2 linked regions of the Lepisosteus oculatus genome follow. The main gene of each other region encodes a partner of the protein of the gene in region 2 in a complex. Links are inferred from orthologs where the notes say so. Each region holds a gene or a part of one and is shown on either strand. Other genes may lie near its edges.

Region 1 (10,949 bases), on a different chromosome or scaffold from region 2:
AGAACATGAACCAGGGCATTCGAGAACTACGGTCGGTCAGACTAAACTGCACCACAATATTTACTCAGCGCACAGACGTCTGACCTGATCCTATTTTTATATATGGAAGCAAGTGCAAAGATCAGATAACTTCGGTACTGAAAGTGCTACTTTTCAAAACCCTTTTCTGTGCCTGAGCTAACACTGCAGTCCCTGTCTGACCACACTTGCAACCATCCCAGATGCAAGTAATCAGAGCGCACTAAGAAAACACAATCACTCTGAAGGAAACTAAATATATCTTTCTGTGGATCGACTGCTTTGTATGTGTTTTATTTCCCCCCCGAGCAACAGGCTGAGATAGTGGGCTGTTAATTGTGGGGTCAGGGACTTCCAAGAGCATCGTGCACCCCAACAGCAACTGTCTCCCCTCCTCCTGTCTATTATGCTGAGCAGTGAGCCAGGAGAAAGCAGGTCTCACTGGGATTCAAACACTGGCCTCTCGATTTCTGCAGAAGACGCTCCAGTTGCTCAGCAAACTGTTATTTTGGCTTCATCGCCACAGAGCAAAAGAAAGAGGGGTCAACAGAAATTAGCAGGGGATCTGTGACAGCCTTTAAACACTGGCAGTAACAGCTTCAGAGCAATGGGTTGAGCTGAGGAAAGAACAGCAGGCCATGTAAGACCTCCCAATGACAGGCAATACCCTATCATTCTGTATGAGTAACCACACCACCAACCCTGTGATCTGCAGTGACAAAGTTGGAAGAGAGAAATCAGGGTGCACTGAGGCACCTTCAAAAATCAGTGCGAGTTTTTGGGATTCACAACCTGAATACATTACCACTGTCAAGGGAAAAAAAAACCCATTCGGGAACAGATGGCTGATATTTTAAATACAGCACACTGCAGCGTTGCTGTCTTGTCTTGGTGTTGGAGGCTCAGGAGAGACAGGGATACGTGACGGCCACCGGAACTGTGTGTCAGGGTTTTCACACCACTGCGTGTCTCAAACAGGACTTTATTAATTTAGGAAAATCCGCAGAGCGCCGGTGACTCACTCTGTTGTCACCCACATGTTGCACTCCTTAAATTTCAAAGCAAAACACTGCTGCAGCTCAGGGAGGGCAGAAACTTACTGCGATTATTTGCCTTTCATACTTTTCACTTCACAGCAACCACAGTGCCACTGTAGAAGTCTTCTGCATTACAAAAACTGGTACTTTCTGATTCCCTGTTGTTTTGTTAATCCATCATTGTCAGTTACCACCATCATTCTTACATATAAACAAAACAGCAGCGTTGTATTGGAGAGGACTGTTTCTTTAAATGCAGGAACTTGAAGGATGCACATTATAGGGGAGAATATACACCGCAGGAAATACAGGAGAAAGACAAGAGCATTGGACAAAAACAATGCTGGTGAAAGAATATACACATGAGATCCCTGTACTCAGGTGGCCTTCTGATGCTCCAGCTAAACATAACTCTTCTGACTAGATCTCAGCACAGCCCCTACATAGAAAGAATACAGTGACACTGAAACGGTTGGGCTTACTAACATAGCTCCTGACGTAGCTTATATCTATATATATATAAATTGTTCTTTTTGCAGAAGAACAGTGTGCGTTTGAGGGTGGATAGGATTTAGTCACAAACAGATGACACATTCTTTAGCACCTGTTTCACGACTGAAGCCCTACCAAATGATTTTGCATAACTTTCGCATTAATAACAGAGTCTTACTTTGAAGAAAAAAAAAATATAGACCTCTTCTTCGTTTGCATGGCAACCTCTCGTTGGCCAATCAGCGCAGCCTGTTAAGTGTCTGCGCGGCTGTACCAATTTCCCTGACTCTTGCATTCTCTCATTTGTCTTACAGGGGGGGGGGGGAAATGATTAGGCCTACACGTTCACAATAAAACAAGTCAAATACTCAGAGACGTAAAAGTATGCGCAAAGGATTTCTTGAAAGCCAGTATTTAAGGGCAGACCAACCAGACCATTGTTAACAAGCTGTCTTATGAAATATTTAGTCCGCTAGTCAAATTTGTCCTTTACCAAATTAGAAAAGTCAGTGCTGTCATCCCGATAGTTTCATCATGCACATCCTTTATTAGAGTTCAATAAATCACCACAGCGCTGGAATTCTTGGATTTACTTCTAAATGGGTTTATTGTAATAGGGACGAAATCTTTTGCATTTTTCTTGTACGCGGAGATGACAAATGCAAGGACCTGGAAACAATTGCTTCAGACGGTGTGTTAGAATTTGTCGGGGCAGCAGTTTCTGAGAAGCCACGGCGCCCCTCTCCCACCCACATACTGTGTGTAACCCCCCCCCGATAGGCGCAAATATTAGGACGCATGGCCCCTAAGGGATTTGTTGCCTCACAGGAAAATAACAGCACCTGGACTAAGCTGTTCAACAGGGAGATACCCCAAGACTACACATAACCCCAGGGACACCTGTTGCTTAACATTATTACAGTACAAAGTATGTAATGCTTTCCTCCTCTGCAGAATAATGAATTCACCAAATTTAAAGACATGAGAATGAGCCACAGTCAAGTGTGTGACCAACTCTGTCGATGCAAGACTGGACTTATCAAACCTAGTCACTATCTTTACCTATTTGCAAGCATTCACTTCCTAACTTTAACAAGAAAGCTGATTCAACGTCTCAAGAGAAAGAAAACTGCAGCTTCAACCAAGGCTTTACAGTTATCCGATGCCTGATCTGTCCCCTTTACCGAGAAGTCTCCTGCTGAAAAATACTCCTCATGTGAAAAAACTCAGGAAAATCCAGACAGATGCTTGGGGAGTCCAGTTAGACTCCACCTTCCATTCCACCAGTCACCCAGGAACTGGGCTCCATTATTTCAGTCAAGGAAAGACGAACTGGGGGTTCACTTGATTGGAGAGTTTCAGACAGGTCCTAGTTTCAGTTTAAGACAACACTATCACCTGATTAAATGCATTGGTAAAAAAAACTCACAAAAGCTTTTTCGCTCTGTTTTCCTGTCTTCTGCAATTTCCCTCACGAGATTAATAAAGTTATCTAATAATAATAATAATAATAATAATAATAATAATAATAATAATAATAATTGCTTACACTTATATAGCGCTTATCTGGACACTCCACTCAAAGCGCTTTAGAGGTAATGGGAGGAGGAGGAGTTGGGAGGAGAGCACAGTAATGAAGCCAATTCATAGATGGGGATTATTAGGAAGCCATGATTGGTAAGAGCCAATGGTAAATTTGGTCAGGACACCGGGGTTACACCCCTACTCTTTTCGAGAAACACCCTGGGATTTTTAATAACCAGAGAGTGTCAGGACCTCAGTTTTACGTCTCATCCAAAGGACAGTGCCTGTTTACAGTATAGTGTCCCCATCACTATATTGGGGCATTAGGACCCACACAGATCACAGGGTGAGCACCCCCTGCTGGCCCCACTAACACCTCTTCCAGCAGCAACCTTAGTTTTTTTCCCAGGAGGTCTCCCATCCAGGTACTGACCAGGCTCACACCTGCGATATGGCTGCCAATCTATCTTATTTATAAATGCTTTTGTATCCTTTATACACCTCCTGCAGATGGGAGAGAACTACCCACACCCTCCTGGCTCCTGTACTCCAACATTGCATCTCTTAAACAAGGGACAATCAACCCCAAATGTATTTAAAGTAAACGAGAGAATGTGATCCAGATGTTAAAAAAAATATCTGACTTTTTTGTTAAAGATCCAAACACAAAACGAGCCTACCTAAAATAAGCACATGTTTAATGTGCACCATTATACTGAGACGGCCTGTTTCATTTCCCATTCGAAAGAAGCTAAATAAAGTCCAAATTACTCCCATCTGACGAAACACAGGCAGGGCTAATATAAACCGTGGCAGAATTGAGACGAACGTCTCCTTTTGATCTTTGAAGACGAAAAAAAAATGCTTAGTCTCGGAGCCAAAGTCATTTTTTTCTCAGTGTTTAATTACACCAACACAAATACGAGGGACTGTTAGATGCTTGAATGTTGTGCGCTATCCACGCATAGGCGCCTGTCATTTGTCAACAGTTACAGCCCTTGCATCTAGCGTCTGATGGGCTTTTGGACGCTTTCCCTCTCCAAGTCGTGTGGGACAAGAAATTGGATTGTTTTAACCGCAAAAACCGGAAAGATGCACGCCGCTGATAAAGAATTGTTTGCTAGGTGTATCCAGTTCTGTTAACAGCGGGTGCATTCGCCAAACCCCCCTCACTGAATTTACGGGTCTGTCATCCAGTCCTTCGTCTTTCTTCAGTCATTTGCAAGGGATCGTGTTAGTGCTGTCAAACTGAGCCAGTTAGCGGTTCCACTCGTACTTCAGGGTCATAAGCTGGAAAAGAAACCACCAGACCTGGCACTCAGGTCCTGCCTCATACCCGTCTCAATCTATGCAATTTATATTGTAGGAAATGTTTTTGTTTTAGAATGTATACACAGCTGCAAAACAGAAAGAAACAAAGGGCAAAGCCTCCAGATTCCATATCGATAAAGTAACTTCCCCCCGTTCCTTGACCTTTCTTCCTGCAAATGAAAACAAGATTGTGCCCATCTCCCGCGGACGCTGGAGAATTATTTAATCAGATGCGGGACTTCACTTTAAGGGGGGGGGAGAGAAAGTTCTGGAAAGAGCAGCCCAAAACTGTTTCGTTTATCAGACTCAAGCTGTTTTGTGAGGTATTCCGGGTGCTTTAATTAGTATTGGGGGTTTACAGATTAACAGGAATTTACTGCAACATCTGTCTTCTGTTTATAGACGTATGCTTGCAGACACGTGTCTTGTAATTATCTCTCTGCTCCCACCTCCCGTCTTACGCCGTCTTCGCTTAGAAACCCCCAGCAGCGCTTAAAAAAAAGCTACGACGAGTCCGCATTCAGAGTTTGGGCTGAGGATGAGAAATCAAAATAGTCCTAAGAGCTACGTTCGGTATTAGGTTTAGAAAACAGCAGCTGGCAAACCTGCCTTTATCTATCTGACAGCTGGGAGGCCTCCTGATTTCACTTCTTATGACAGGAGTGTGAACTGCAACCTACACCCCATTATTCGAGTCTTTATTGCATCAGGCTCTTCTTCTTTGATCGCTGCTGGGTCAGTGCTTCCTGGCTGTTGTGGGGTGAGGTCTGCCTTTTTCATGAGTGCACCCTAAAAAGCAGGTGTGTGCAGTTTCTCCTCATCGACAGAACAATCAGACACCTTTAATTCTACTGAAAAAGTAATCAATTTAACAAAGCGACAAGTAAAGGTTTATTTCATGCTGCAAAGAAAAAGGAAGACAACGTTTCGGCTGTGGAGCCTTCTTTCTGGGGGTCACGTTACCTACCTGAACTTGAATTTAACCTACTTGAAATTAACAAAGTGTTCAGGTAGAAACGGCTTAACGCCAGCACAGAACACGGGCCATGAGCACCACGTATTGCTGCTTTCCAATTATATGCCGGTGTCTTAACTAATAATAGTTGGACAACACCGATGTGTGATACAGACTAGCTCTCTCATCCCTTGCCTTTAGCTGTAAACCGAAGCAACGCCACCAAGGGGATAGTACAGCCATTGTAAAGCTGGTTGTGTAAGCAGTACTATTAGACGCGCCACCAGATCACATACTGATTCTCTGAGAAAGCTGGGCCTTCACCGAGGGCAGAGGGGTACATAGGCGATACCGGGTCTCGCAGGTTACAATTGAATGAATAGGAAACAGACATTAGATTTATGTTAAATCAGAGCCCTTAACGAAGTGCGAACCGTCTGCATCCCCCACAAGTTCACATGGTAACACGTTCTCCTAAAACTGCCATTATACAGAGTAGTTGAGACGCTACCGTTCCTATGGAAAGAGCCGGGGTTTTTTTGTTTTGTTTTGATGGAATAATCATTTCATTTCCATGTTCTCACACACTGCCATCACTATTCTAACTCCCTGCTGGAATATTCGCTTAAATGTGTTAATACACCCCGGTCAGAAAAGGCATTCATGGGTGAAACGTTTACAACATGGTTTATGCTGCTGTCTGACACATTTATCGAAGGGGTGATCCGACTCTAGCCCGTATTCTGAAACAAAATCCCCATCAGATTAATTAGGCATTTTAAATACCCGCTGTAATCAAAATGCGTACTGTTGCAGTCATAAAAACGTTGTATAGGGCGGTGTTGTGTTTTATAAATGAATAAAATTAAATTATAGATCGAGCAGTGAGAGTATCAATTTGAGCCTTTTACAGAAAACATACAATTGCAGCATACCGCATTAACTCTCACTCCCACTGTAGTTAAATTAAAATGTTAACTTACACAGTGGGCACTGTCAGTAGACACACGTGAGGAGTCCGGCAGAGGTGATGTCAAATTCGGTACATCACCGAGAAGGGCTCTACTCTACAACAAAGGTCAGGCACGTTGGTTCCGGTGTTGTAAATGTACGGTACTGTTCAGCGTTAAACCTTTGGAATATTATACAGATTTTAGAATTATGCCTTAATAAAAAAAATAAGGTGGTATTTTAAACGATTAAACAAACAAAATGACACTGAAAAGTCTGTCTACCGCCTAAAAGCGAAAACAAAATAGAAATAATAAAATTAGCGAAGTGGAAGTAATTCACGTTACATATCTAGAGCGGTGAGAGTGTTTCTTTTATTTTATAATTTAATAAAAAGCTTTGCGTGTATTCGCCTCCCCATTTCTTAGTAACGAGATCGATTATCTCCCATTAAACAGTTGATCCAAAGACAGGCTGGGGATTCGATAACACTTTTTCCCAAAACCCCACCCCCCAGCGAAGAGCCACACCGTGCTGCTCAAGTAGCTGCGGCATTACACGCTATGTTGAAAACTGGGGCGGCAGGAAGAAGCTGAAACTCCCAGATTTTCTCCCCACTCCATTCATGCACTGGCTACGCCATCTGACGCGTGACGTCAGCGGGCGTGTGCCGTGACGTCACCGCCCGTGAGCCAATCGGCTGCCGCGGGCGTAAAGCGTCTGGAATTTGAAAATGTTGTTCGAGTGCCTACTGGAAATGCTCTAGGGAAGACTGTAGTTATTCTGTTTGTTTTTTTAAAACAAGGCCGGTTGCTCCTTTAAGTTAAAATAACTTGTCGAAGGCGTTTTCTTTTTGTTAACAGATGTAAAAAAAGTGGGTGAGTTTTATCCGTTTTTAAAGGGATTGTCGGGCTCTGGGCATGCACAGTTTGAAAGATGCACGGCCTAAACGTAGGGGTTCTGCTAACCAGGCCGTTAAGTCGATTCCTAAAATTGTTTTTGTTTACTTGTTCATTGTTGCTCTAGCACTATGAAAGTTGTTTAAATCGACTTCACGGTGTATATTGCATCCTACTGAAAGTACGACTTTGAAATCGATAATTTAATTTTAGTGCATTCGGCTTCAATTTCCTAATACTTGAGTAATGCGAATTATTCAATGGCAGAGTGTCAAAACATGGTGCGAGGTGGTGACCGGCTTGTTAATGCACATTGCACGATCACCGTTTTTATTCTCTTTCGCTTTTCTCGCGTGGTTTTGCTGATCGGGGAAGTTGGTGGGTTTTCTAATGCTCTTCAATGGTTGGTATGGGGGGGGAGGTCTCGTTCAATCGTGCTGAGCGAAAGAAAATGTCGGTCGAGTCCAGGTAGAGCCGGAGACGGTTAACTCTGCCGTGTCTCACAGGCTAGCCGTGTACAGCAATGGGCTGGAGGAGAACTGGATCAGGCTGGGCGCTAGCAGTGCCCAAGACTCCGGTCGTAGCCTCCACTTCCGGGTGGCTAAACCTGCTCAGGCTGTTCCTGTGTGATTCAGAACGAAAACAAATGGATGCTTTCAGATGTGTGTAACGTCTTCAGTGCGGGTGACTGGGATAGGCGGTGACAGAATGTTGCCACAGATCTCTCCCCAAGATGGGGGTGTGTAGGCTAAATGGAAGTTTCGGATCTTTAGTGAGTACCACACAACTCAAGTTTCTCATCTTTAAGTTTTGAATCAATCCTAAAATCTCTCTGGAGGATCATTTTAACATGTCTTTTAAGTTTTCTGTTTACACCCCAAAAGAAGGCAAACTTCTTTTGATTTTTCCAGTTTATAATAATTCCTTGCAGTTGTGTAGGACTTTTCTGGACCCTCCACTCAAAGCACTTTACAGGTCATGGGGATCCCCTCCACCCCCACCAGTGTGCAGCCCCACCTGGATGATGTGACGGCAGCCATAGTGTGCCAGTACACTCACCGTACATCACCTCTCAGTGTGGAGGAGAGCAGAGTGATGAAGCCAGTTCAGAGAGGGGGGTTATTAGGAGGCCATGAGTGGTAAAGGCCAGGGGGAAATTTGACCAGGACACCGGGTTGACACCCCTACGCTTTCCGAGAAACGCCCTGGAATTTTTAATAACCACAGAGAGTCAGGACCTCGGTTTTACATTTCATCCAAAGGACGGCGCCTTTTTACAGTGCAGTGTCCCCGTCACTATACTGGGGCATTAGGACCCACACAGACCGCAGGGTGAGCGCCCCCTACTTGCCCCACTAACACCTCTTCCAGTAGCAGCCTCAGCTTTCCCAGGAGTCTCCCACCCAGGTACTGACCAGGCTCACACCTGCTGAGCTCCAGTGGGCTGCCAGCTGGGAGCTGCAGAGTGATATGACTTATGCCAGCAGTCACAATGGCTTAAATTCATATTTGTAGGGGTTTACCTGGCACAAGGTGGTGAGGGGAAAAAGAAGGCAACATGCTGAAATCACTAATTGGTTTGAAGTAGCTATTTATCATTAATTTGCATCAAATGCAGTGATCACTTGATATTAAAGTGAGTTGATTTCTTAAGCATTGAAATGTTTTGTTGTTGTTGTTGTCTTTTCCAGATCTGATCCTTGGTACGTCGTTGGATCTCTCGGTACCGGTTTTCCTTGTGTGGCTCCCGCAGAGCCACTGCGCGGCCCAGACCCGCCGGGAGAGAGACCGCGGAGGGCGGGGGGGGGCGCCATGTCCGCCGGCGACAGCGGCGTGTGCAACCACGTGAAGGTGGTGGTGCGCGTGCGGCCGGAGAGCGGGCGCGAACGGGAGGGCGGCTTCAGGAAGGTGGTCCACGTGGTGGACGGCCACATGCTGGTCTTCGACCCCAGGGAGCAGGAGGTGAGCTTCTTCCACAAGAAGGCGCCGGGCAGGGACATCACCAAGAAGGCCAACAAGGACCTCAAGTTCGTCTTCGACCACGTCTTCGGGGAGGGCGCCAGCCAGCTGCAGGTGTTCGAGAACTCCACCAAAGGAATAGTGGACGGGGTCCTGAATGGATATAACTGCACGGGTGAGTCTCGGAGATCCCCCCTGGCCAGTTGTAGCGTGGGCTGGCCTTGACTTGAAGCTGTCCGCCTGTCGATGCTGGAGAAGTGTCTCGTGACGTCCGTCAAGTGTGGATGTTTCTCTCTGGGGGAGGGGCGGCCCCTGGAGTGCTCGGTGTCCCCAAAACCAGAGAGGGACCTTTCAACCCGAACTCTGTGGGGATAGTGTGTAAACATGACAGTGCTACACGGCGGAACTGCACAGACAGCGATTGATCGATATCTAGATCTGAAGATCGGCTTTGAATCTTCTCATAGTGATCATTTCTAATGATTAGGAGCTTCAAGCTGATTTAATGCTTAAACTTGGGTCCCGTCCAGATGGGGATGTCTGGGAGCTGGGGCCCTGTGGTCCACAATTGTTGAGGGGAAACGCCCGGTCTAGTGTGTGAGAAACGGGTTTCTCCGTGTTTCTGTGATTTTTCCTCTCAATGAAGCTCTCGGGGTGCATCCTTGGTGTGAGTCGAACAGCGGGGAGGGAGCTGTGTTTCAATCAGAGTGACACATTGTTTATCAAGTTTTGGATTTAAAAGGTGGTGGGGGGGTATTGTCTTCCTGCTGTGTGAACTATTTAAACTATTTTAGGGCATCCAGCAGCTGAAGGGTGGGATTCTCATTTTGCATGCAGACCGAGTTGCTTTTTGAAAGCCGCATAAGGGTGGCCTTGATGTGTCTGGGGAATGTGCTCTGAGCCCCCTGCCCGCTGGAGGCTGACTCTCGGGTCACCAGGGCCAGTCAACGAGCTGTGCACTCCAGTCCGTCTCACTCTCTCCCAGGGGTGATGAGAGGGGGTCTTGCACTGAGGCTTGCATCATGTCCTTCGGCATCCATGCTGCCATCTTGCCCCCCTCTCATTTTAGAAAAGAAAATCGGGTGAGAAGGGTCTTATCTGGCGTGGGCGCGCATGGCTGCACAAGAGAAGGAATGAAACCATTGCAAGTCAAAGTTCATAAAGGGAATGCAAGCTGGCCGTGGTCTGGTGCACCATCCCTTCCCACCAGACAAGCATTGTTCATTGTGTGTAAGAGGTCGCAGGGTTCCTGTTTATAAGTGGTCCAGCGCAAATGAATACTTGATGCACTTGACTAGAGTACTGAAGCTGGTGACCAAAACGACGTTTCACTTCGTGTTCCATGAATGTTGCAGTGTTTGCCTACGGGGCGACCGGAGCAGGCAAGACCCACACTATGTTAGGCTCGGCGGAGGACCCTGGCGTTATGTACCACACCATGAAGGAGCTGTACAGCCGTATCGAGCAGGTTCAAGATGAGAAGGTCTTTGACATTGCCGTCTCCTATCTGGAAGTGAGTGCTTATGGAATTTTTTCTGTTTATTCTCTTAGTCCTTGGCTGGGGGTCCCAGACTCCTCTGAAATTCAAACATGCCTGAAGTCGTTGCTTTACACACAGTACTTTATAGAAATTTGTGTTTTCATATACGATATTTAAAACTGTATAGTTACATATAGGCATTGTTGCTCCTTACAATACTGTCACAGTCACCTTTTAAAGCTAATTGTACTGATTTAAATCCACTTAATAATAATAATAATTGCTTACACTTATATAGCGCTTTTCTGGACACTTCACTCAAA
Region 2 (10,570 bases):
AGCACCTCTAAATACAAATTTCCTTGCTCGATATTTGAGAGAGAGAGCCAGTTTTTAGCTGGAGGAGGTTTAACTGTAGTTAGTTTTCCTAACTATAACTGCTTATAGTTAAAACCGATTGCCCGTTAAAACTGCTGCCTTATAAAACTGATTCCTTTCTCTCTGTGTGCCTGTCTGTGTTGTGGTGCTAAAGTTTTTTTTTTTCCCTCAGTGCATAATGGTTTATTTATACATCCATTTTCTACACTGCTTTATCCAGTAAGGAGTCGTGAGGGGAGCCAGAGCCTAATCTGGCAAGAAACGGGCGCAAGACAGGATACACCCTGGACAGGACGGCAGTTCATCACAGGGCACGCACAGACACACACACACTCATACCGGTGCCCAATTTCCCAGAAGCCTGTTAACCTGCCAGCATATCTTTGAACTGTGGGAGGAAACCCATAAGAACATGGGGAGAATATTTAAACTCCGCCCAGATAGCACCCCAGCAATTGGTCCCAGGGCCCATGAACTGTGGGGCAGCAATGCTAACACTGTGCCGCTCGCATAAGGGTTTATTGGTCTACAGATTTTTTTATTACATCAGTTTAGGATGTGTAGTTTTTTTACTTGCAGTAACGCTGTGCATCATGTTGTTGTACAAGGATAACTGCTGTTACTTCCCAAACTATGTGATAACAATAAATCATCATTTTATATTTTACAAGGCTTTTGTAACTTGTTTATTGCATTCTGTATTTTTAGAGACTTGTCATGCTAGAGACACTGGCTCCTCAGAATACTATGAAGAAGAATCTTCAGAACAGAAGGCTTCGGGCTTACAGACTCATACCTGTCAAGACCCTTCAGGTGCCCTTCAGACGCCCCCACACACCTACGCAGAGCAGTCCAGCTCCAGCCCATTTGGAAACCAAGAAATTTCACCAGAAGGAAGCAGCACTTTTTCACGTCGGAACAAAGTAGAACCTGCAGCAAGCGAGGGCTCTCCTGCCAGAGGGACAGCGCAGGGCTCCTATCCTGCACTGAGGGGGCATTTGAAAGCCTGGAGTGGGATGAGCTGTAACAAGACTGTGCCACTGGGGTCCTTCGAGCAGCAGCTCCTGAGGGCTCACCGGGAGCACACCGCCGCTCTCAAGGACGGCTTCCGCACCCTCACCAGGCAGAACAGACTGATCTACAGGGAGATGTGCGAAACCAACAAGAACATCGCCCGCATTGCCTCCTGCCTCGCGGAAAAGAACGAGAGCGTGTCGGACCTGGCCGAGGAGCTCGTGGGCATCCATCACAAGATCACGGAGAGCATCGACGCCACCAACTGTCTCCAGGACAGGGTGATCGACCTGCTGGCATCCCAGCAGGAGCGCTCCGTCTTCGTGGTGCCCAGTGCTGTGAAGGCCCCTGTGCCCACTTCCTCCATTGTGGAGCAGGAGAACACTGCACGCAGAGAGGAAACAATGTGATTGAACTAATGGAGTAGCAGTTTACTCCACATATATGTTAGTCATCATGTTACCTTGTTTCTTGTGTTGGAGAAAATCCTTCTCTGTATTTTAGGGACCGTAACTTATGAGTTTTTGAGCCAGGCTTTAATACACTAGAACCTCCAGCCCCTCCACTGTTATTTCCCAGTTTTGAAAAGTCACATCTTTGTTGTTTTTTCAATGAAAAGGTATTTATTGGAAGGATGTTTGGCTAGATGTGGGAAGGACAGCCTAATCCAGTTTATCACCCTTAGCTGTAATTTATAAAAGCATTGCTTTAGGATATTTCAGCTAGCTGTTTAGAGAAAAAAAGCTTAAAAATATAAGAAATAGTTTTCTTTTTTAGGAAGCTTCCATACAGATCTCTTAAACTTCTTTACATGGTTTAAAATGACTATACTCAATAAACCCAGCTAATGAATAATTCACGTAGTACAGTCATAAAACTTTACTATAAAGTGAAGCATGCATGCTTTTCACATTTTTGAAAATATTTTTAAGTTTGATGCATAAAGTAACTTAATAGGTATGTGTTTATGTAAGATTTATCATAGACCTCCTGATTATTTAAAAGCCTTTCTGCTGCTGCACTGACATTTTGCGCTTTTTGTAGTCTGTTTGGCACTTATTTCCATGGTTTGGAAGAAAGGAAAAGAAATGCAAGATTTTACTTTTACCAAAATATAAAATGTGTCACTTTCTATGTGCTTAATAATGGGACCAGAAGATAAGGTAAGAAGTAAGAACAGGAGTTCATGTGTTCATGCTTCATCTGTGGATTAACTGTGCAGTAGTGAGTAGGTCCACTTCTTCCAGCAGTTGTTATGGCTCAGGACCTGTTGGTAACATTTGTCAATACAGTACAGTATATGCAATATGGTATATCCAGATAACAATAATAGACCTTATGGATTATGTTGTGTAACAACTTTAAGGAACAATGTTGTCATTCAAGTAAAAGACATAAAATGATATTTTTTGGTTCAAAGTTCCCATCCATATCCAGTGTAACTGTTGTAAGGCCAGTCAATATACGGTATGAACGACATTAAGAAAATTGCAATTTTCTTCAATCACCATGTTGATCAATTAGAGAATTATAAATAAACAGTATTTTCATGATCTCATGGACATATATATGTAGATGTTTATAGTCTACTAATTTCATTACTTGTAAATATTTTTATAACAAGTTCTTAAGAATAAATGAATTCAGAAATTAAAAATTGACATTTTTTTCAAAATGACGCATTATAATTGGTATTGTAATTAATTGTCTGTTGTTTTTCGTGATAAAACAAGCAGCAATGCCAAACTAAACAAGGATGGGCTTGGTCAGTACTGGGGGAGGAAACCTCAAGGAAAGCCAGGCTGCTACTGTATGTGAGGACCAGGAAGTTGATCTTTCCCCTCTGGGCCATCTATCCGTTTCTTACCACTTCATACAATTTAGGGTCATGGGAAAGCCAGAGCCTATCCCAGCAAGCAACTTTCACAAGGTGGGAATGGTATGCCAGTCCATCACAGAGCACACACAGACACACCAGGGCCAATTTTCCCAGATGACAATTAAGCTATCAGTATGTTTTTGGACTTGGGATAAACACACAGTACAAACTCCATGCTCTCAGCACCCATCCAGAATTGGGCCCAGGGCCCCAGCATTGTGAGGTAGCAATGCTAACTCTGTGCCACAGTGCTCCCCATCCCTCTGGACCACATTTACCAAAATGCAGTGCTCCAGGAAAATGACAGGGCACTGTCCTGTGGGATGTGCCATTAAGTTAATGTCCTGACTTATAGATGATTAAAGGTCCCATAAGTTTTAGTTTTACCCTAACACCCTGGCTAAATTGCATTTTGAATTTGAACAATCAGACCTGCTTAAATTTCCACCTAAAATTCAACCGGTGAGGTAATATCTGATTTCTGTCTGATCTGCAACACTCCACTCAAAACGCTTTAGAGGTAATGGGGTTTCCCCTCCACCACCACTGATGTGCAGCCCCACCTGCATGATGCAACAACAGCCATAGTGTGCCAGAACGCTCACCACACATCAGAACAGAATGATGAAGCCAGTTCATATTCAGGTGGGGATAATTAGGAGGCAAATGGGAAATTTGGCCAAGACACTGGGGTTATACCCCTTCTCTTTTCAAGAAACACCCTGGGATTTTTAATGACAGTGTCAGGACCTCAGTTCCATCTCATCCGAAAATGGCAACTTTTATAGCGTCCTTTTCACTATACTGGGGCATTAGGAACCACACAGATTGCAGGGTGAGCGCCCCCTGCTGGGTCCACTAACACCTCTTCCAGCAGAAACCTTAGTTTTTCCCAGGAGGTCTCCTATCCAGGTAATGACCAGGCTCACACCTGCTTAACTTCAGTGGGCTGCTATTTGTGAGATGCCTTCAGTAATGAAGTATGCTCCGATAAGAACGTTAAAGCACTTTTAGATATGTTGGTAAGAAATGTCTGTATAGATGCAGGTAATCAAAAGAACGTCTAATGCAATTGGAATTTTATTTAACATATCAGTTTCATTTAGAACAGTATTAGTAGATTTTTTCATGTGTACATTTTACACCATATTTTAATATAATATTTAAATAGCGTATTAAACAATGGAGACCACACAGGGTCTAAGAAAATAACTTTTAAGTTTTTTTTCTGGAAAATATGGCAAAAGGTAAATTAATTTTCCACTTAATTACTTATAATGTATAGTAACACTGTAACAAATATAGTAACAAAACTGCCTTCACATTGTAAATTCTCAAGATAATGTTTTGTACTTCTCCCCCTAGTGGTATTTATTGGAATATGAAGCCTAATGGCTAATGTTCTGGTTATAATGCCACCAAATTGCATTAATCAAAGATTTCATCCTAGTTTAATTGAACACGGTGTGTAGTTGCTAAACTCATCAAGGATATGATAAGAGGGGGTAGCAGAGACTATAGTGAAGTCATTGCTGGGTACTATAGAGTTTATTTCCAGCAGCGATGCTGTTCTTAACGTCTATCAAAGATTCAGACTCTAGTAGAGTCAGTAGCCGTAATAATGAAGATAATGTAACAGTAGGAGCACAGTAGGAGATGTAGGCAAAACCCGGAACTGGCCCGACACATGACATGAAATGCGGATACGCACAAAATATGTAACAGCGAGTGTGAAATACAAATATCAGCTGGGTGGTATTAAACTGAAAGAGGTAATATACTGTATGAGTCAGATCTCAACCATGGGACATAATTTAAATAAATGATGAACAGTTTCAGGGCTACTGTCACAAAAAAACAAATTTATCGTCTGTATTAATTTTAAATCTCTGGACAACAAGGGTCTTAGCTGGGTAAATTCAATTAATTATTTTGTATGAAACCTCCTTAACCTTATTAGTTATTTAAGATTTATTGGGCATCATCCACATTTTTTTCCAATCAACCCATTTTCAAAATGAGGAATTCCAATATAATGTAACAGCGAGGATATTATCATTTTGCAACAGAGATCTTAAAAATGTTATTACATCCACAACTCAAAATGTCTTTTCCTTTTGTAGTCTGATGCGACCTGTAAATTCTTCCAGCGTCTCTAATAATATAATAATAAACTTGATTTTATATAGCGCCTTTAAAAGTGGCTTCTCAAAGCGCTTTACAGGATGACAATAACAATAAATAAGAAGAATGCAACAATAAATAAGATTTCACAAGATAAGACACAATTACAATTACAACAATACAACAATAAAAATAGAGGAGACTGTGGAAGGTGGTACTAAGAAGAGCAGAGGGGTGAAGAATGGAACCAGTTAAGTTAAGGCTTTTCTGAAGAAGAAGGTTTTGAGTCTGGATTTGAAGGAGTTTAGAAAAGGTGACTCTCTAATATCCTTTGACAAAGAGTTCCAGAGCTTGGGGGCATAGCAGGAGAAGGCCCTGTCGCCCATACAATGTAGACGGGCTTGGGGGACAGTAAGGAGGGCAGAATTTGAAGAGCGGAGGTTGCGAGGTGGGGAGTAGGGCGATAATAGTTCAGACAAGTATTGAGGTGCCAAGCCATGTAAAGCCTTATAGGTGAGCATGAGGATTTTAAAGTCTACGCGGAATTTGACCGGAAGCCAGTGCAAGAACTCCAGGATAGGAGTAATGTGAACACTTGCACTAGACCTGGTCAGGATTCTGGCTGCTGAATTTTGGACTACTATTGCAACTCCTTTAAAAAGTCAATATTTTCCTAGGAATCGCGGTAATTACAGCGAAATATTGATAAAAAGTAATAGAAATATTATATATTTTAACAAACTCGATGCCAGCTCATGATGTTCAACAGCTCCACACCACCCCGCCCCCGTATAACTCTGGGCTCTGGGCTGGGCAGAATGTGTAAGGATTTCATCGGCGCCGTTTAATGATGTCACTTGTTTGCGCCGCAGGGGAAAGGGGAGTGTAGAGAGTTGAGAGCTTTTCAAAGTGCGCTTGCTCTGGTAAGATGGCTGCTTCTGCAACATCAGAGTTGAGCTCCCTATGTGAAAAATACAGCCGCGTCGTTACTCTTTCTGAGGTAGAATCCAGGAAGGACCCGGAGACTGACCCTTTTCGCTCCAAGTACAAAGCCAGGGAGCTTCTGAAGGAGATCATCTGTACCCTGAGGAACCAGTATATCGGGGAGGATGACGGGGAAAGCGACCAGCCCCAGAAGGATCAGATTCTTGAGGGTTCAGACTCAGAGGGATGTGGGAGCGGTTGTGTCGGGGGCTCGCCAGCCGCCCTCAGGGCAGCAAAACTCGGAGTGATCGAGCACCTTCTAGGGGTAAACCATGTGGAGACTGAAGAACTTTCCGCTGGAGAGGAACATCTGATGAACTGCCTCAAACTGCTGGATAAATACAGCATGTCACGGGAAAACATCTCTATAAACATACAGACCAGGGTATTGTATTGTTGCCACGTTCCATTGTGAAAAAACTGCACACCATATCACATTAGAAAAAGTAATAGGTTTATTCCATGCTGAGAAAAAGAAGAAAGAAAACAACGTTTCGGCCGTGGAGCCTTCTTCAGGTGTGAGAAGGCTCCACGGCCGAAACGTTGTGTTTTTTCTTCTTTTTTTCAGCATGGAATAAACCTATTACTTTTTTCCTTTGCAGACTACGCATGCTGACGCAGCTACCCACCTGAAATATCTCATTATGTTAACGATACCTTTTTTATGCACACGTTATTTTAATTACATTTTATTTTTATACAACCGACAGTTATTCTAAGGCAAAACTATAACGCTTTTAGCCTGTAGCAACCGGTTTTGTAGTATCTGATGTCATATATTTCTGTCCCCAAATCTAAGAGAAATGTATAATGTTAATAAAACATTAACGGTAATTGACAGGTAATCCTTCATGTTAAATTTCTATCTTTTGGGGAACTGTATACGTTTTGTAGAGGAAACGAATGGTCCAATGCGACACTTCATTTCGTTTATTTTGGAAGTGAATAAAGGAGTGGATTTAAGACAGGTGGCTGAGAGGAAAATGTCTTCATTCTTTCTGTAGAATCAGTTGGGTATTCTGTGGGCTGGACGAGATGAAACTGAGAAGGCGCAGGGTTTTCTGGAAACTGCAGAGTCTCTGTACATTCAGTACATGAAACAGGTAAGTTAGTTATGTATTCCTGTGGTTTGTGATTACAGTTTACTGCCTTGCGAATCAGACAACGTTACACTACCTTAATCAAGCCGGTACATGTTCGTTTACATTAGAAGGCGTATAGTTGCTCTGAACAGGAAGCGATTGCCTGCGTGCATTTATACTTGACATATTATTACAGACTTTTCATTCATGCAGAAATATCGTTCCTGAGATATTAAGTATTGTGATATTGATCTGTCAGGTATTTTTAGGGTTGTTGAATAATTTCCTAGAAATATACAGTATGGTGATGTCGTACACCTCAGGGGTAGCCAACCTTGGTCCTAGGGGCAAACAGTCTAGTGTGTATTACAGGCCAGCCAAAATCATCAGTTTGTGAGCTTTAATTAATTCTGTACAATGCGCAGTTTAAGTCCAGAATGGTCAAGAGTGATCCTTAGAGCTACAGAATGTTAATAGGTTCGTGTTGCACAATCTCTGATTTACTGTAAATGAGAGGAACAAATCCCTTGGATCAAATGGTCATAAGGAAACTCTTCCAAGTAATAGTGGTTTTGTTTGTGAACATGCAGTCCCCTTCTTCTCCAAATTCAAAGCAGCGGCCCTGCCAGAATGCTTGCTTTTAAACTGATTTAAGCTAGAAAGACCTGTTTTTTCCAAACAGGATGGACAGCCCCCAATGGATCTCAGTGACTTCTTTGTGACAGAAGGGGAAAGTGTATTGGACCAAGAAAGAACAAAAAGGTAGTTACTCGGATTAAAAGTAAGCATTAAACTGAGTTTTCTTATATTACTGACATTTTACTAGAAAGGTAAGTAGTTTCTTAATGTAAGTTATAAATCATGTGACAGACATGATTGTGTCAGTCTCGTTATATAATATTGGCCTTGTTGTGCAGTTAATCTTGTCACAGCATTATCTTTCTGTAAACATGTGCCCAAGGTAAATCTAGAAGCTTTGCCACTGGTAGTGGTGTTTGGACATGTTAGGGACAACTGCTAAAGCCTTTTCTTTGTCCGCAAAATGCAAAGGAAATAAAACTAAAACATGCATCTCTTTTGTTATGCTGGACAGATTTGAAATGGCTCACACTTACACATTGTATTACTTGGCTCAAGTCTACAAGAACCTGGAACAGTACGAAAAAGCTGGCCGGTACTGCCACACCACTCTTCAGAGGCAGCTGGAGTTTAACCACTTTGTTCCTCTAGAATGGGCCATCAATGCTGCAACATTGTCCCAGTATTACATTACTAAGGTAAGAGTCAGCTCAGGGCAGGCTGGTGCTTTCTGCCCAAGACACGCAATGCAGTGGGACTGAAGCTTTGACTCGTACGTGCTAGTCCAGAGTGTTGCAGAAAGTGTTGTTTATTGCAGATGTGATGCTCAGCCTTACTCCAGCTTTGTCCCTGAGGTTCACGGTTGCTCTGTAACTTTGGTTAGAATTATACAGTAACTTTGCCAGTTTTGTTTTAAACTCAGTGTGGTCTTTTTTTTTTAGATCAGTGTTCTCTGGTCAGAAAAGTTGGAGTATTTCTTGACTTACTTTTCTACCCATCAGCAAATACAATTCTCCTTCTTATACTGTCTTTTTTTTTTCAAAATTTAAAGTATAATAAAGTAGATTGCCTTAAATCTTAAATTTCTGAGAACTGGCTGGTTTCCATTAATTTCTATTATTGTCCTTAATAGACCCCCTCTAAACATGACTGGGGTGTTGCACACACTCCTACGGTTTATGAAGTTAATCCCAGTGGGCTCTGCAGGCAGTGGTCTGATATCATCAACATAAGACCTACTTCTCTTGCAGCATCACTGTGGCTGTTTCAAAGTCACATAGTAGACTTCAGCGGAACAATGTGAACAGGCGGTGAGGTGGCACTGTGGCTAAGGATCTGGGCCTGTGGCTGGAAGGTTGCCAGTTCAAATCCTGCGGCCGGCAGAGGAATCCTACTCCGTTGGGCCCCTGAGCAAGGCCCTTAACCCCAACTGAAAGAACTAATTTTCTTTCTTCTTTCTCTCCGTTAGTCTCGTTATATGGAGGGAAGGCACTGCTTAGCTGCGGCTGTTGTGGTTGCAGGCCTGGCAGGCGAGGTGCCGTCAGAAGCAGCAGCGCAGGAGAGTAAGTGTCACCCCGGGGCACTGGGGGTTTGTCCTCATGGCCGGTAGGGAGGAACTGAAGTTGTGAAAGTGAATGGGATTGTATTCATGAGCCAGACATCTGCGGAATTGTTTCAAAGTAAAAATGAGAAACGGGGAAAGATGGGGAGGCATAAATGAACCTTTGCTTTGTGTTGGAGACAGAGCAAGTTTTCACATTCTGTTGATTGAAATCTAAGACGTTGGAGTTAGTAGTACATTTACCAAATAGTACATTTACCAAGGTGTACCATGTCTTTCTTGGTCTAGACGAGGCAGAGGGTGAAAAGAGGGAGCAGCTTCGTCAGAAGAGAGCTGAAATAGCCCGGTGCTGGATAAAATACTGCTTGAATCTTCTGCAGGATGCCAAAAAACTCCTAGAGGTAGAGCTTTATTTTTTTTAATTGTTGAGTGTACATTTCTGTCCACTTTTGGTTGCCTTTTTGTTAAACACCATCTGTGGTTTTCCATTACTTTGTATTATTGCACTCGCAAGCTGTGTGCCTGTTCCTTTAGTTTCCTTCTGCAAGAGATTCTGTATGGGTACCTTCAGATGGCAGGCACATGTGAAACTTACTTTCTTTCCCTGGCAGTGAATATACTGCCTGCAAATCCTGTGGTCTCAATTGTTTGTCTGACCTTGGTGTAGAAAGAAGGATCCACTTATTTTAGAAGCAATAGGGAACAAAATCGGAACTGTAACAAAAGATGAGTTTGCAGTGCTTTCCCGTCACTTATAGGAGAAGTTTTTTTAAATGAACTTCCCTCTTCTGGTGGGTTTACTGCAGGATAATATTGGCGAGCTGGATGTGGAGCGTCAGGCGGAACTGAAAGCGCGCCGCCGGCAGGAGGACGAGGAGGAGGAGAAAGGCCTGAAGAGCGCCATCTTGTTTGGCTCCAGGGACATCTTCGATTCCATTTTGGCCCTGGAGGAGAAGGTGAGTTGCGCCTACCCTCTGGATTTCGAGGAAGCCCGGGCCATCTTCCTGGTGGGGCAGAACTACGTGACCGAGGCCAAAGAATACTTCCAGATGGATGGCCACGTCACGGACCACATCGAGGTGGTGCAAGACCACAGCGCTCTCTTCAAGGCCCTGTCCTTCTTCGAGGAGGACTACGAGAGGCGCTGCAAGATGCACAAACGGCGCATCGACATGCTGGAGCCCATCTGCAAGGACCTGAACGCCCAGTACTATCTCCTCATCTGCCGGCAGCTGCAGTTCGAGCTGGCTGAGACCTACTACGAGATGATGGACCTCAAGCTGGCCCTGGCCGACAAGCAGGACGAGC

What was found.
Region 1: the proteins of kifbp (region 2) and kif18a are in contact, whole or in part, in a cryo-EM structure (PDB 7RSI), measured with the Homo sapiens proteins. The link is inferred for Lepisosteus oculatus from reciprocal best matches to the Homo sapiens genes KIFBP and KIF18A. Residues at the interface, in NP_056449.1 of Homo sapiens: Ser150, Glu151, Tyr212, Tyr213, Gln216, His220, Gln238, Ile251, Asn252, Thr255, Gln258, Asn262, Gly414, Tyr415, Val459, Asp460, Leu461, Asn462, Pro463, Gln464, Leu467; in NP_112494.3 of Homo sapiens: Glu181, Thr183, Gln184, Lys185, Gly186, Arg274, Phe275, Val276, Glu277, Gly278, Thr279, Asn280, Ile281, Arg283, Ser284, Leu285, Leu288, Gly289, Val291, Ile292, Arg314, Lys317, Asp318, Gly322, Asn323.

Annotation. Positions count from the first base shown.
Region 1 is NC_090716.1:3,253,169-3,264,117, reverse strand, and holds the start of kif18a (kinesin-like protein KIF18A), read left to right. Parts: upstream 1-6,948; 5' UTR 6,949-7,166; intron 7,167-7,249; exon of another isoform or gene 7,250-8,519; intron 8,520-8,878; 5' UTR 8,879-8,999; coding exon 9,000-9,321; intron 9,322-10,501; coding exon 10,502-10,659; intron 10,660-10,949.
Region 2 is NC_090699.1:30,753,268-30,763,837, forward strand, and holds the start of kifbp (KIF-binding protein), read left to right. Parts: upstream 1-5,920; 5' UTR 5,921-5,984; coding exon 5,985-6,425; intron 6,426-7,044; coding exon 7,045-7,143; intron 7,144-7,804; coding exon 7,805-7,884; intron 7,885-8,215; coding exon 8,216-8,399; intron 8,400-9,169; coding exon 9,170-9,263; intron 9,264-9,550; coding exon 9,551-9,663; intron 9,664-10,068; coding exon 10,069-10,570. Other genes in the region: myb-related transcription factor, partner of profilin-like, read left to right, coding at 748-1,463. UniProt on the Homo sapiens protein: Activator of KIF1B plus-end-directed microtubule motor activity. Required for organization of axonal microtubules, and axonal outgrowth and maintenance during peripheral and central nervous system development.